Linked DNA regions of Drosophila melanogaster. The protein of the gene in region 1 purifies or fractionates together with the protein of each later gene. This does not show direct contact. Each region holds a gene or a part of one and is shown in the gene's direction. Other genes may lie near its edges.

Region 1 (2,986 bases):
ACCTGCCTGCCGTGGTAATTATAGGTTCTTGTCACACAAACTCCCCCACGTACACACACACACACACACATACACCCGCTTTGGGGCTAATTCTAAGCCAGCCACAACCCTCCATCGCCGGCTGATTCAACCAATCACGCAATGTTGACGGTAATTATTCGTCAAATACATGACACTTGGCCGGGGCCGCATGGCATTTATTTGTGCTGCCCGGTTACAAGGACTTCATATAACTGGTTAGCCAGATTACATGCCCCCAGCCCAGTCCAGTCCACCTCTCCCCGCTCGCCGATCACTTCTTGGCCCTTGGAGTTGACCAACTGTTATGTGTTGGGGCGGAGATAGTAAGGCTTACCCATTGTCCATGCGCTGACCAATGAGAGTGACCCTTGGCTATCGACCGGCATTTTGTGGACGAATATAACAGCGATAACAGCGGTAATAGTCTGAAAGAGGCGTGGTGGAAGCCTACTTGCACTCACTGAAAGTTATCCTTTAGGATATCTTACTATATAGCAAAACATGGGGTAATGTAAAATGTAAATCATGAATATGCAATTTTTAGTCATTACATTAAAATGAAGCCATCTTATTTGAACCATTATACAATAGATATACTTTTTTTGATCCTTAAACTGATAGTTCTTGTAGATTCCTATCACTCCAAATCATTTTATCAGATATTCTAGGCATAATATATCTTCAATTGCTCTATGTGAACTTTTTATTTCCGAGGTTTTTTGAGACTTAAAGGATTTTTCCAGCGTGTACCAATCGATTTCAATAGTCCTAAGAGGAATAGCTTCTGCTCCTTTTTAGCTGAGCTCCAAAAACTGCAGCGTCAGAAAGTTGCAATATGCCTAATCCGCTATTATTAAGACATCAAAAAGTTGTTACCAACTTTATTTTGATCAAGCATGATTCTTCAAAATCGTAAAATTTTACTTGCCTTCCGACAATGCCACTCACGACATCCAAGACCACCGTATGCATATCCAACAACCATCGACATGTAAATGAACTCCGTGTGTCGTCTTTAACCCGTTCCGTTTCGTTTCGGTTTGAGAAAGTGTCACCTGTTTGTTTGCCGGGGTGGTAAATTGGCAGTTTGGGTCACGGAGTCCTTGCCGTCTCCGGCAACCGGAAGTCGCATCCTTATGGCGTTTCATAATGTATGCGCTAATTTATTATCTGTTGGCAAAAGTTTGGGCCATACATAGTTAACCCTTTGACTGTCATGCCACCGATGTTTCGTTTATGGTGTTTTGGCCCAACTGAGAGCCGAACCCGGAAATAATGGATTGCGTGCCGGAGTGACATGTCTGGAGAATTGGAGGCAGTCTAATATCCATCAAAGGGTCGAGCGAGATGGATTCGAAATGCACACATATAGAAAGCAGTACGTTTTGGAATCGGTTTGAATTGGTTGGCATTACCAAACCACCAAACTTCTACTCTACGGACTGAGTTCGATTTTTTTTTACCCACCCCGGGGACCCATTGCTAATGCATTGGGAGGATCGTTTTGGACATAGGCTATTAATGCGTTAGACAAATTACCGGGTAATCTAGACAGTAGAACACGTTATTGCTTCGTTGTTTGTTTGGTCAGTAATTGAAGAGCAAACCTCGTGGACTTCGCGGTGGACAAACCGTTAATGACACCTTTAATTGGATGACATTAGCACCCGGGGGTCTGGGGCATGACCAAGTGGGCCCTGCCCCCATCCTACAGTCAAAGCATAGGCTTCGCTTAGCCTGTCTCTCGGAATAGTATTCATCTAACAAGTATTCATCGAACAAGGAAATCGTATTTTTATAAGCAACGAAATGTGTGACGAAGGATCGATCAGGGAATGTGAGCCCACCACCTTGCGGCTTCCTTTCAACAGCTACCACATCAATTTGCCGCTATATATTTTGGACATGGTGCGCATCTTCCAGGATCATCCCAAGTACAGCAATGGTATCCACGAGGAGCACATTCTGGAGATGCTGGAAAAGGAGTAAGACAGATCGAGTAATATACTTAATGGTAATGGTAATGCTAATCATCTAAATAGACCCTTTGCCTGTGGCGATCTGGAGTCGCAGGTGAAGACCGCTCTGCTGGACCTAACGGCCAAGGGATTCATACGCTTCATTACCAATGGATACCGCACCCTGGGACCCATTGCCAAACTCTCCAATGCCCGTTCCGCGCGCCACTTCAACATGACATGGCAGCGCATTGCCGAGCTGCAGAAGGTCAACTGTCCGAGCCTGGAGGCGGGATCCATCTCCAGCGGACCCTGCATCCAGCGCGGAGCCAACTACTAAATGATTTCACTTTTTGTTGTGTTAACCATTTCGTTTATTGAGTTCATTTCCTTGCAGATCAGCAGAGTAACGCGCCACACACACTCTCCACACTTCTTCCAAATTGTAATCGTCTAGTAAAATTCCTACAAATCCAAGTTTCGGGGTAGTTAGTTGAGTACGGGTGGTCATAATCATCATTATGTTGGGAACACATGTCGCGGGGTCTGCCATCCTTTTGACACTTAACCAGGCTAATTATTCTCAGGGGTTGGAATGTCGCAGGTGTTTATAGGGGAAATGCTTCCGAAACTGATTTAAGTATTACCATTGTGAATAGGCCAACTATCCCTGTTTGTGATCTGGAGTACATCCCCGACGAACTGTGCCCCAATGTGACCCTTGGCCAGGCCCATTACCCTTTTGGCCGAACCGTTTAGATTGTCAACACCAGGACAGCGGAGGACACAAGGAGGACCTGTCGTCATCGCAGTCCGAATATGTGCCCGCGAACCAAACACGCATGGGATCCCGGCCAGGTGGTATTTATTGCCTCTCTAATCGTTGCGGCATAATCTATTAGCACCCCACCCGACAGACAGATCCGCGCTTCCACGTCCAAAACGGTGTCCCTTGATTTTTTGCTTTTGCACATTAAAGGCAATTATTTTTATTGTTTTAGTTTCGA
Region 2 (3,292 bases), on another chromosome or scaffold:
CACCTAATGCTCAACGCCCTGGGACTGGCGCAACAGGTGCCCGAGTCCATGATCGACGCCGTTACCGGGGTAGCTGGATGCGGTCCGGCATTTGTTTACACCATCATAGAGGCACTGGCCGATGGCGGCGTCAAACAGGGCGTTCCGCGTCAGATGGCTCTTCAGTTTGCGGCTCAGACGCTTCTGGGAGCGGCCAAAACGGTGCTGCTCACTGGAAAACATCCGGCGGTGCTGCGGGATGAAGTCTGTTCTCCCGGTGGCGCCACCATAGTAGGCGTTCATGAACTGGAAAAGGGGAACCTCAGGTGGGTAGCCATAAAGTTGTACATTACACTGTTTTTTTATTGCTTTCTTTCGTGCTTTCAGGTCTACTTTAATAAACGCCGTGGAAAAGTCGTCACAGCGCTCTGCTGAACTGGGAAAGAAGTGAAAATGTAATCCCCCGGAACATCCCCTTGCTCTCTACACATACATATAGTTAAACGCTTGATATTGTTATTACAATAATGACTAACATAAAGCTCAAGTTTATTCCCGATCCTTCTTGCTGACGTACTCCACGCACTTGGAGGGATCGGTGGGAAAGTACTCTTGGCACTTGGTCATCAGTCGTTTGAGACCCTGGATGTACTTCCGTTGTGTTTCATCGTTCATTACGTGGGCTACGTTTTTGGAGAAAATCTTTTCGCGACCCGTACGAGCGTGGATACCCACCATAGTGACACCAATGGGCCAAGGCGCGTTTCCGATGGCCATTTCTAGGTAGGCATCGCTTGCTGTGATATAGTTGCGGTTGAGCAGGTGCTTGCAGATGTCTCGCAGACTGTCCAGAATGTCCTCTGGCAGGGTGTGATGCTTTAACTTGCGAAACAGCGGCTTAACGTATTCCTTAGTCTGCGTGTAAATGACGCGGGTCATTTTCACCTTTGTGGACATCTTTTCGTGCTTGCTGTAGTTGGCGATCTGGTCGTTCCACAGCTTGAGCAGGAAGGTGAGCAGCGTGATGATCACATCCATGTCGTAGTCCTTGTTGCGGCCCATATTTGCAGCCATTGTCTGTATGCTCTCCCACGACACGGACTCGTCGAGCTCAGCGAAGTCCGACTTCTTGTCTTCCTTGGTGGTGGGTGTGTTGGCGAACATCTCCTGCAGGTAGGCGGCGTCCACCTGCTCCATGGCCTCCTGGAAATCGTTGCGGAAACCGCGATTTGCCTCTGGCTGCGAAATCTCGCATTGTCGCAATCGGTCAAAGGCCTCGGGCTCCGTCTCGCCAAATATAAGGATGGGTTCGCCGCGTTCCCTTAGCCTCCGAATGACCTCCGTGCGCGGCAATATGTTCTGGCCATCGGCCACAAAACTGTACGCGCCTTCGGTCGTTTGTCCTTGTGCCTCGACGGACTCCTGCTTTATGTAGCCCACCTTCTGCAGCACTTCCTCTGTGTTCTTGGCGTTCAGGTCACCGCGTCTGAAGTACTTCTTCTTTTCGTCCACCAGCTGCCTTTGCTCCAGCAGCTTGCGCTTTCGCGCTATTTCAGCTTTCAGAATATCCATGTGATTGTTATTTGTAGTTAATAACAATGTGGAGTAACCAAAACAAATGCCTTAGATTATAGTGAGACCAGACTGAGAATGTTTACATACAAGTGCGGCCACTAAAATAGGTATTCTATTGAATTTACTAAGTTTTAGTTATGAAATAACTTATAATTAGTTCTATAACTTTAATCAATAATTAGATAAATATGTACTTCCTAATTTATTTAATTTAAATGCATTTATTAGACATTTAAATTGTATTTGAGCTATATATTTTTCTAGTATTTTTTCTTTGGTTACTCTTTGGTATTTCCGCAGCCTGGTCACACTGGCTCAAAATCAATAAAAAATAGACAACATTTTAGGATCGGAATTCATTCATAAAGGACACAATGCCAAAGAAAATGGGAATCAACTCGAAGGCGGTGGAGGCCCGCGAGCGCAAGGAGGCCACCAAGAAGGCCACGCAGGAGAAGAAGAGCAAGGAGGCGGAGGATCGCCTGTGGCGCGATGACGACAAGAATCTGGCCAAGAAACAACAGCGCAAGGACGAGGAGGAGCGCAAGCGGGCGGAGGCGGCCAAACGGAAGGCTGAGGCCAAAGCGCTGCTTGACCAGGAAATGTCATCCATTAACACGCAGCGAAAGCAGCCGCTGGCCAAGATCAACCGCCAGATGATTCTCGAGGAGATGGAGAAGAAGCAGCGCGTAATCGAGGCGATAAACGAGGCCAACAAGCCGATGGCCGCGCGAGTGGTGGTCCAAAACCATATCGAGGAGAATCTGAACCGATCCATGGCCGACACGGATGTGGCATCCAACATTGACGAGGCCATCGTGGTGCTCAGGTGCGTTCCCTTACTGAAACTTTCTTATCAATTTAAATTATCTTCCATTGCATGCAATTTTAGTGTAAATGACAGCGAAGAGGACAAGCATCCCGAGAAGCGAATGCGCGCCGCCTACAAGACCTTTGAAGCCAACAATCTGCCCCGCATTAAGGCTGAGAATCCTTCCCTTCGCATGTCCCAGTGGAAGCAGCTTCTGATGAAGGAATGGAACAAGTCACCAGACAACCCATTCAACCAGGCGCGCTAAGTGATCCAAGGACCAAGACTGTTTGCTGCCTAGCAGCAAAGAAATAATCAAAACGTTCTGTAGCACCTTTGAACTGTACGCAGAATGTAGTATATAAAAAAAAAAGTGGACGGAATAAATTTATTTATTTATTTAAGCCCAGTGAGTTGAATTTGTGTTAATTGCAAAAGTGGTTAGCTATTATCCTTCATAAAGCATCCCATGCAAAAGGATACGAAAGACAAAAAACAATAATAAGATTAACATATTCATATTAGAATAAAATCTTGCTATATAGGTACTTATTATAAGAACTGGATACAAATTCAACACATATTTTTCTATATTGTACACAATTTGGTTGTAATAATTTCGCTCTTACAAAAGAAATATTTAATTATGCAAGAGTCAATAAAATTATAGAAAATCGGGCGAATAAACATAGGATTGGATAACTCAGATCCGAAAGTGATAACGGACAGCTTTTCTCCGCTTATTGAATGCCGAATTTTTATTTGCCACCGGCTGAAAAACTTTGTGGCCCTGAATCCGATTCCGGTTGCGTTTCTGAATGAAGTAATTATATGTATTGCTTTGATTGCTGTTGTCGTTCCAGCGTTTTGTCCATCACTTTTTTTTTAGTGGTGCAAAATACGGAGAATAATAAGTGCTTCCGCTTT
Region 3 (4,666 bases), on another chromosome or scaffold:
GCGCTTTCTTGGCGCTTTGTCCTCGTCGATGACTACACGCCGACAAGTTTTTGCTATTATTAAACAGTTTTACAAGCCGCTAACGCTCAGAAATTGTTGCTAATTAGCCGAACCGCGCACGCCGGCGCAGCAGACCTTAAAAGCGACCCCTCGAGGGGAAGAGAGGGGGGGTGATGGTGGTGGAGGGTTAGGAGTGGGCTGCCACTAATAAAGGTGTGCGCTGGTATGAGCAGCGGTGCACTGCGAGAAATGATCCACTACATTGCACTTCTATTCAAATCACTTTCTAATCTTGTACCGTTAACGTCAATAGCAGAAAGTTTACTTTAATAATTAATAATATTGTTTGAATTTTAAATAAAAATGAAAAAAAAACAATTTTTATTTGTGAAAGTTGAAGTTTTTGACCTTAAAATGGTTACATAGACGTAAAAATTATGTATTAGTACTAAAGTGAAGAAATCGCTAAGCACTATGTTATCAAAAATAAAACTTAGAATCTCATAACAATTATCATTCTTTATCATTCCAAATGTTGAAAATTAAACATAAAGCTAGAATATCAAGTGAAACCTATTAATTACACTCATTTTCTCTCAGTGCACGTGTCAAGATTGGAGGCAATCGAGCTGAATTAGATGCTGCTGGGGTCGATTGAGTGCAGATCAGGCGATGAGCAATCGAGTGCAGGGTGCAGCAAGCAGCGAGCAACAATTAGATTCTTCGAAAAAATCTAAAAAATTATGAAAGGACCTTGGAATGCAATTTTGCTGTGTGCCACAATTTGCATGTGAATAATGGCAAAAATCACATCTCTCGCTGTCAATCGGTGCGTATGCGTAATATTTGTGTGCGCCGCACAGTCTGTCAGTTTGAAATTATGTTGTCCTAGCGTAGACTTTCCCCATTTGCTTATTTATTTATTTATTTATTTATTTTTTGTTAGCCATTTGAACCCCGACAATTAACACGGCGAGCAGCGACGAGGCAAACAAAAAGCGAATCTAACGCTTCGTTTAAGCGATTTGTGTGCGCTCTTTAATGAAATTCGCTGCTGTGTTTGATGTTGTATTAGGGGTACGAGTAACGACTATGTGCGTGCTACGGCCTTTTTGTGGCCCGTGTCCGTTCGGCTGGCACTATCGCCATCTCTATCTGCCCGGCTATACATACATATATCTATCGCGATCGGTCGCAGGGTGTCGCCGTGCTGGGATTTTGTGGCTATGACTCAGCGTCGCAACAACAGTAAGCAAATAGCGTTTGGGGGAAGTTGGTGTCACGTCTATGAGATACCCATTGAATCTATTAAATTCACTATCTATTTTATGTCATCTATTAAAGTTACTATTTAGCAGTTCAACTAGGTCGCTTTAGGTCGCGATTTTTCTCTTTATAAATTTCTACATATAATCACATTAGTTTTGATTCACTTTAAATGTAAGCTTAAAGCGGAATTTAGCTGAAAAGAAAAATCGAGTTCTTCACTACCATACGATTATCAGGACTTCCGGCATTGTTCACCCAAATGTATGCTACAAAAAATATCGTTCCCTTTTGAAGGCAACAAGGAAACTCTATAAGAACTCCCATACTTCTAAGAAGAAAGTAATATTAAGGAGATATCTTGTATGTAAGACCCATAGAGTGAAGTAGGGAGTAGGGAAGCATGCGTATGTCCTACTTATTTTCCCAGAATCCTCGATTGATATCACTGTGACTACCCATTGTGCGAACCATACCACCTGGATGGTCTAGTATACCCGTTGCACTCCACACACAACGGGTACCACAACTCCCACCACAATGAATGGCGGGCGCTGTGTTCCGTTCTGTTTTATTCTGCCAGTTGATTTCGGTTCGGGTTCGGATCCGCTCATTCAGTTCAGTTGTGCTCAGCTCGGTTGGAGCGACCACGGTTCGTGTCGATTGCGAATCCGTTGCCATTGTCGGATTGGATCGCGGAGAGGGTCTTGCAAGTAAAATTCATGTTAATGAATGTTAATTTATACATTTGTAAGAATCTAAAATCTGTTTTTCCATACACAACAATTATTGACGCGGCAGTCGCTGCTTGGCGGCGATTTCGAATTTTGAAGCAGTCGCGCCCGAAACGTCGCCGCGAACGCAACGATCGGTTAACGGTAAAGATATAGAAGGCCACCCTCTTTGGAACTAGTAATAGTAGTCCTACGGGAGATTAGTCCAGAATGGATCCCGAGTTCGTGAACAAATACAATCAGGTCCTTAGCCGTCTGAAGCTAGTGGAGAACTTCGATGGCAGTGATCCTGGCAAGCTGCCGCAGTTCCTGCACAAAATCGAGGCCCTTATGCCGGCCATAAATAGTTTCGACGACTACTACAAGTTTCAATTGATAGGACATATCAAAAATAAGTGCACAGATCGCGCCAGGGAGGCGGTCTTCACGCGACAAATGAGCGCTCCCGTGGGCAATGGCAATGGCAATGGCGGCGGGAATGGTCATCTCCTGAAGGCCGAGTCCTGGCTAAAACTCAAGGATCAACTGCTGTACAACTATGCGGAGCGGGAGTCTAGCTACTCGCTGATACACAAGATACGCAGCGCTGTCTTGGACTCGAACATAGAGTTGTACTACCAGAAGATGGCCAAACTCAAGCACAGACTGATCAATAGAAAGCTCACGCACAATGACACCCTGTACAGTCTCGAGGACATAGAGCGCATCACGCTGCAGGTGTTCCGAGATCATCTGCCCGAGCCGACGCACTCGATGATCCTGCGCCGGAATCCCAAGAGCATGGAGGAGGCCTATCGCTACATAGTGGAGGTGCAGCAGCAGTTCTACACACAGAGCGGATCTCTGGCCAGTGACCATCAGGCGGCCACCTTCAGCACCAGCCACAAGCAGCAGTCCTACGGCGTGGGAATGGGCGGAGTGGGCGTGAGCACCGTTGGCGTGGGCGTCGGAATGGGCATGGGCGCTGTGGGGTTGGGACTCTCCTCCTACGTTCGTCAAATGTCCAACGACAAGGGACAGCAGAATAGCACGAAGAGCTACTACAATCAGTCGGCTCCGCCGGTGGGCGCCGGCAAGAATCATCCGATGTTCAAGAGCATTGGCAACCCCACCTTTAAGTCCAGCTTCAGCTACAATGGCACCAGCAGCAATTCGGGCATGGGATCGAATTACTCGAGTACCAAGAAGTCGGACATCAAGCAGAACTACCAGCAGCAGAAGAGTCAGAACTACTCGAAGACCTCGTCGGCTAGTGCTTGGAAGAAGTAGTAGTTGACATGGCTAGACGATCTCACCCTCCAATCGATCGGCGGTCCAGTGAGATAAGCGTATCGAGCATGACCTAATCCCTTGGAGCCTGTGACTAAGCCAGGGCAAAGTGATTGCCACCTCATGCTAATTACCCCGATACCTCACCCTCTAATGGCGATGAGGTGGCCGAAGATTATAGGATGTGAATATAGATTAAATTGTGATGAGAGAGCCATACTGGGTGCAACGAGATGGAGGTGATCTGATCCCTGTTTCGCGATAATCATAACCAATCCCTATCAGTACAACTAAGACGATAATGATGTGAATGTTCAAATAAAACAAATAATACAAATGTTAATGTTATAACTAACAATGCGGCAATTTAAATACCTCCATGGATTAAGCGTACTAGATTGCACATGCAAATAAAAAAAAAAAAACAAAACCATGTGAATGAATACAGATGAAGATAATGCAAATAGAAAGTAAGGGCATTGCAATAATAGAAAGTGTGTGCATAGCTATGTACTATCAAGTAAAAATTAAAATAACTAAAAGTATAGAATCACTAATTCGAGCTGATAGCAATGATCTTGTCGAAATACAAGATAATTAAGCCGATCGAGATAATTGAATGCATGATGTTCGATCTTCGGTAATGATGACATCGATCGCGTGTCCATCGATGATGATCAATCCGCAGACAGTATCGACATGTTAATTATTAGCTCATAAGACCCGAGTGTACATAGCCCCACACCTCAGTCCCCAGTCACATTACCCCCTATATATGTATCTACCGCCAATCGCCTATTTTTTAACAACAATCGCCCACCTTCAAATTCTGTTTTTTTTTTTGTTAACAATAAAGTGTAAAGTCTAACAGCCCTAGTGTATCTCTGTTTTGGTCGGTCAGAGGTATCGAATTTGGCATAGTTTGTTTACTCACAATTTGCTGGGCACTTGAAGTGTGGGCGGAACCCCTCGGATCATAGCCCATGTCCTGGGGCGCTGGCTCCGATTGCTGCTCCTGCAGCTTCACAGTCTTCGGTCTCGACCGCTCCTTGACATCCTTTTCGGGCTTACCAAAGAGTCCTCTCTGCTCCGCCCGGCGAATCAGGTACTTTTCATTCAAATGTGTCAGGGTTTTGCGGCGCACCAAGGCCAAGTAACTGCCCGTAACCTGCTGTTTGATGCAATTATCCTGATTTATGCATATATCCGGCACGGTATCCTGCACGAACTCATCGATATCGGGTGTTACAATCAGATCAATGCTTTCCACACGCGGCAGTGGAGTAGCTGTACAGCCCGGAGGTCCAGGTGCTGGAGGTTCCGGCTGCGCCGAGGGTTTATCCTTCTTCCTGGGCGAATCCTTGCTCATTGCAGCTGCCGGAATGTTGGCTGCCTCC

The links.
Region 2: the proteins of CG3687 (region 1) and CG6013 purify together in Drosophila melanogaster (affinity purification with mass spectrometry, with the first as the bait; one large-scale study listed by BioGRID). This does not show direct contact.
Region 3: the proteins of CG3687 (region 1) and Gagr purify together in Drosophila melanogaster (affinity purification with mass spectrometry, with the first as the bait; one large-scale study listed by BioGRID). This does not show direct contact.

What each region holds. Positions count from the first base shown.
Region 1 is NT_033778.4:16,235,026-16,238,011, forward strand, and holds CG3687 (uncharacterized protein), read left to right. Parts: upstream 1-1,689; 5' UTR 1,690-1,830; coding exon 1,831-2,006; intron 2,007-2,063; coding exon 2,064-2,319; 3' UTR 2,320-2,454; downstream 2,455-2,986.
Region 2 is NT_033777.3:19,029,643-19,032,934, forward strand, and holds CG6013 (uncharacterized protein), read left to right. Parts: upstream 1-1,860; 5' UTR 1,861-1,928; coding exon 1,929-2,383; intron 2,384-2,446; coding exon 2,447-2,633; 3' UTR 2,634-2,767; downstream 2,768-3,292. Other genes in the region: P5cr (pyrroline 5-carboyxlate reductase), read left to right, coding at 1-305, 367-430; Prp18, read right to left, coding at 529-1,551.
Region 3 is NT_037436.4:16,392,740-16,397,405, forward strand, and holds Gagr (Gag-related), read left to right. Parts: upstream 1-1,846; 5' UTR 1,847-2,210; coding exon 2,211-3,269; 3' UTR 3,270-4,141; downstream 4,142-4,666. Other genes in the region: CG44836 (uncharacterized protein), read right to left, coding at 4,204-4,666.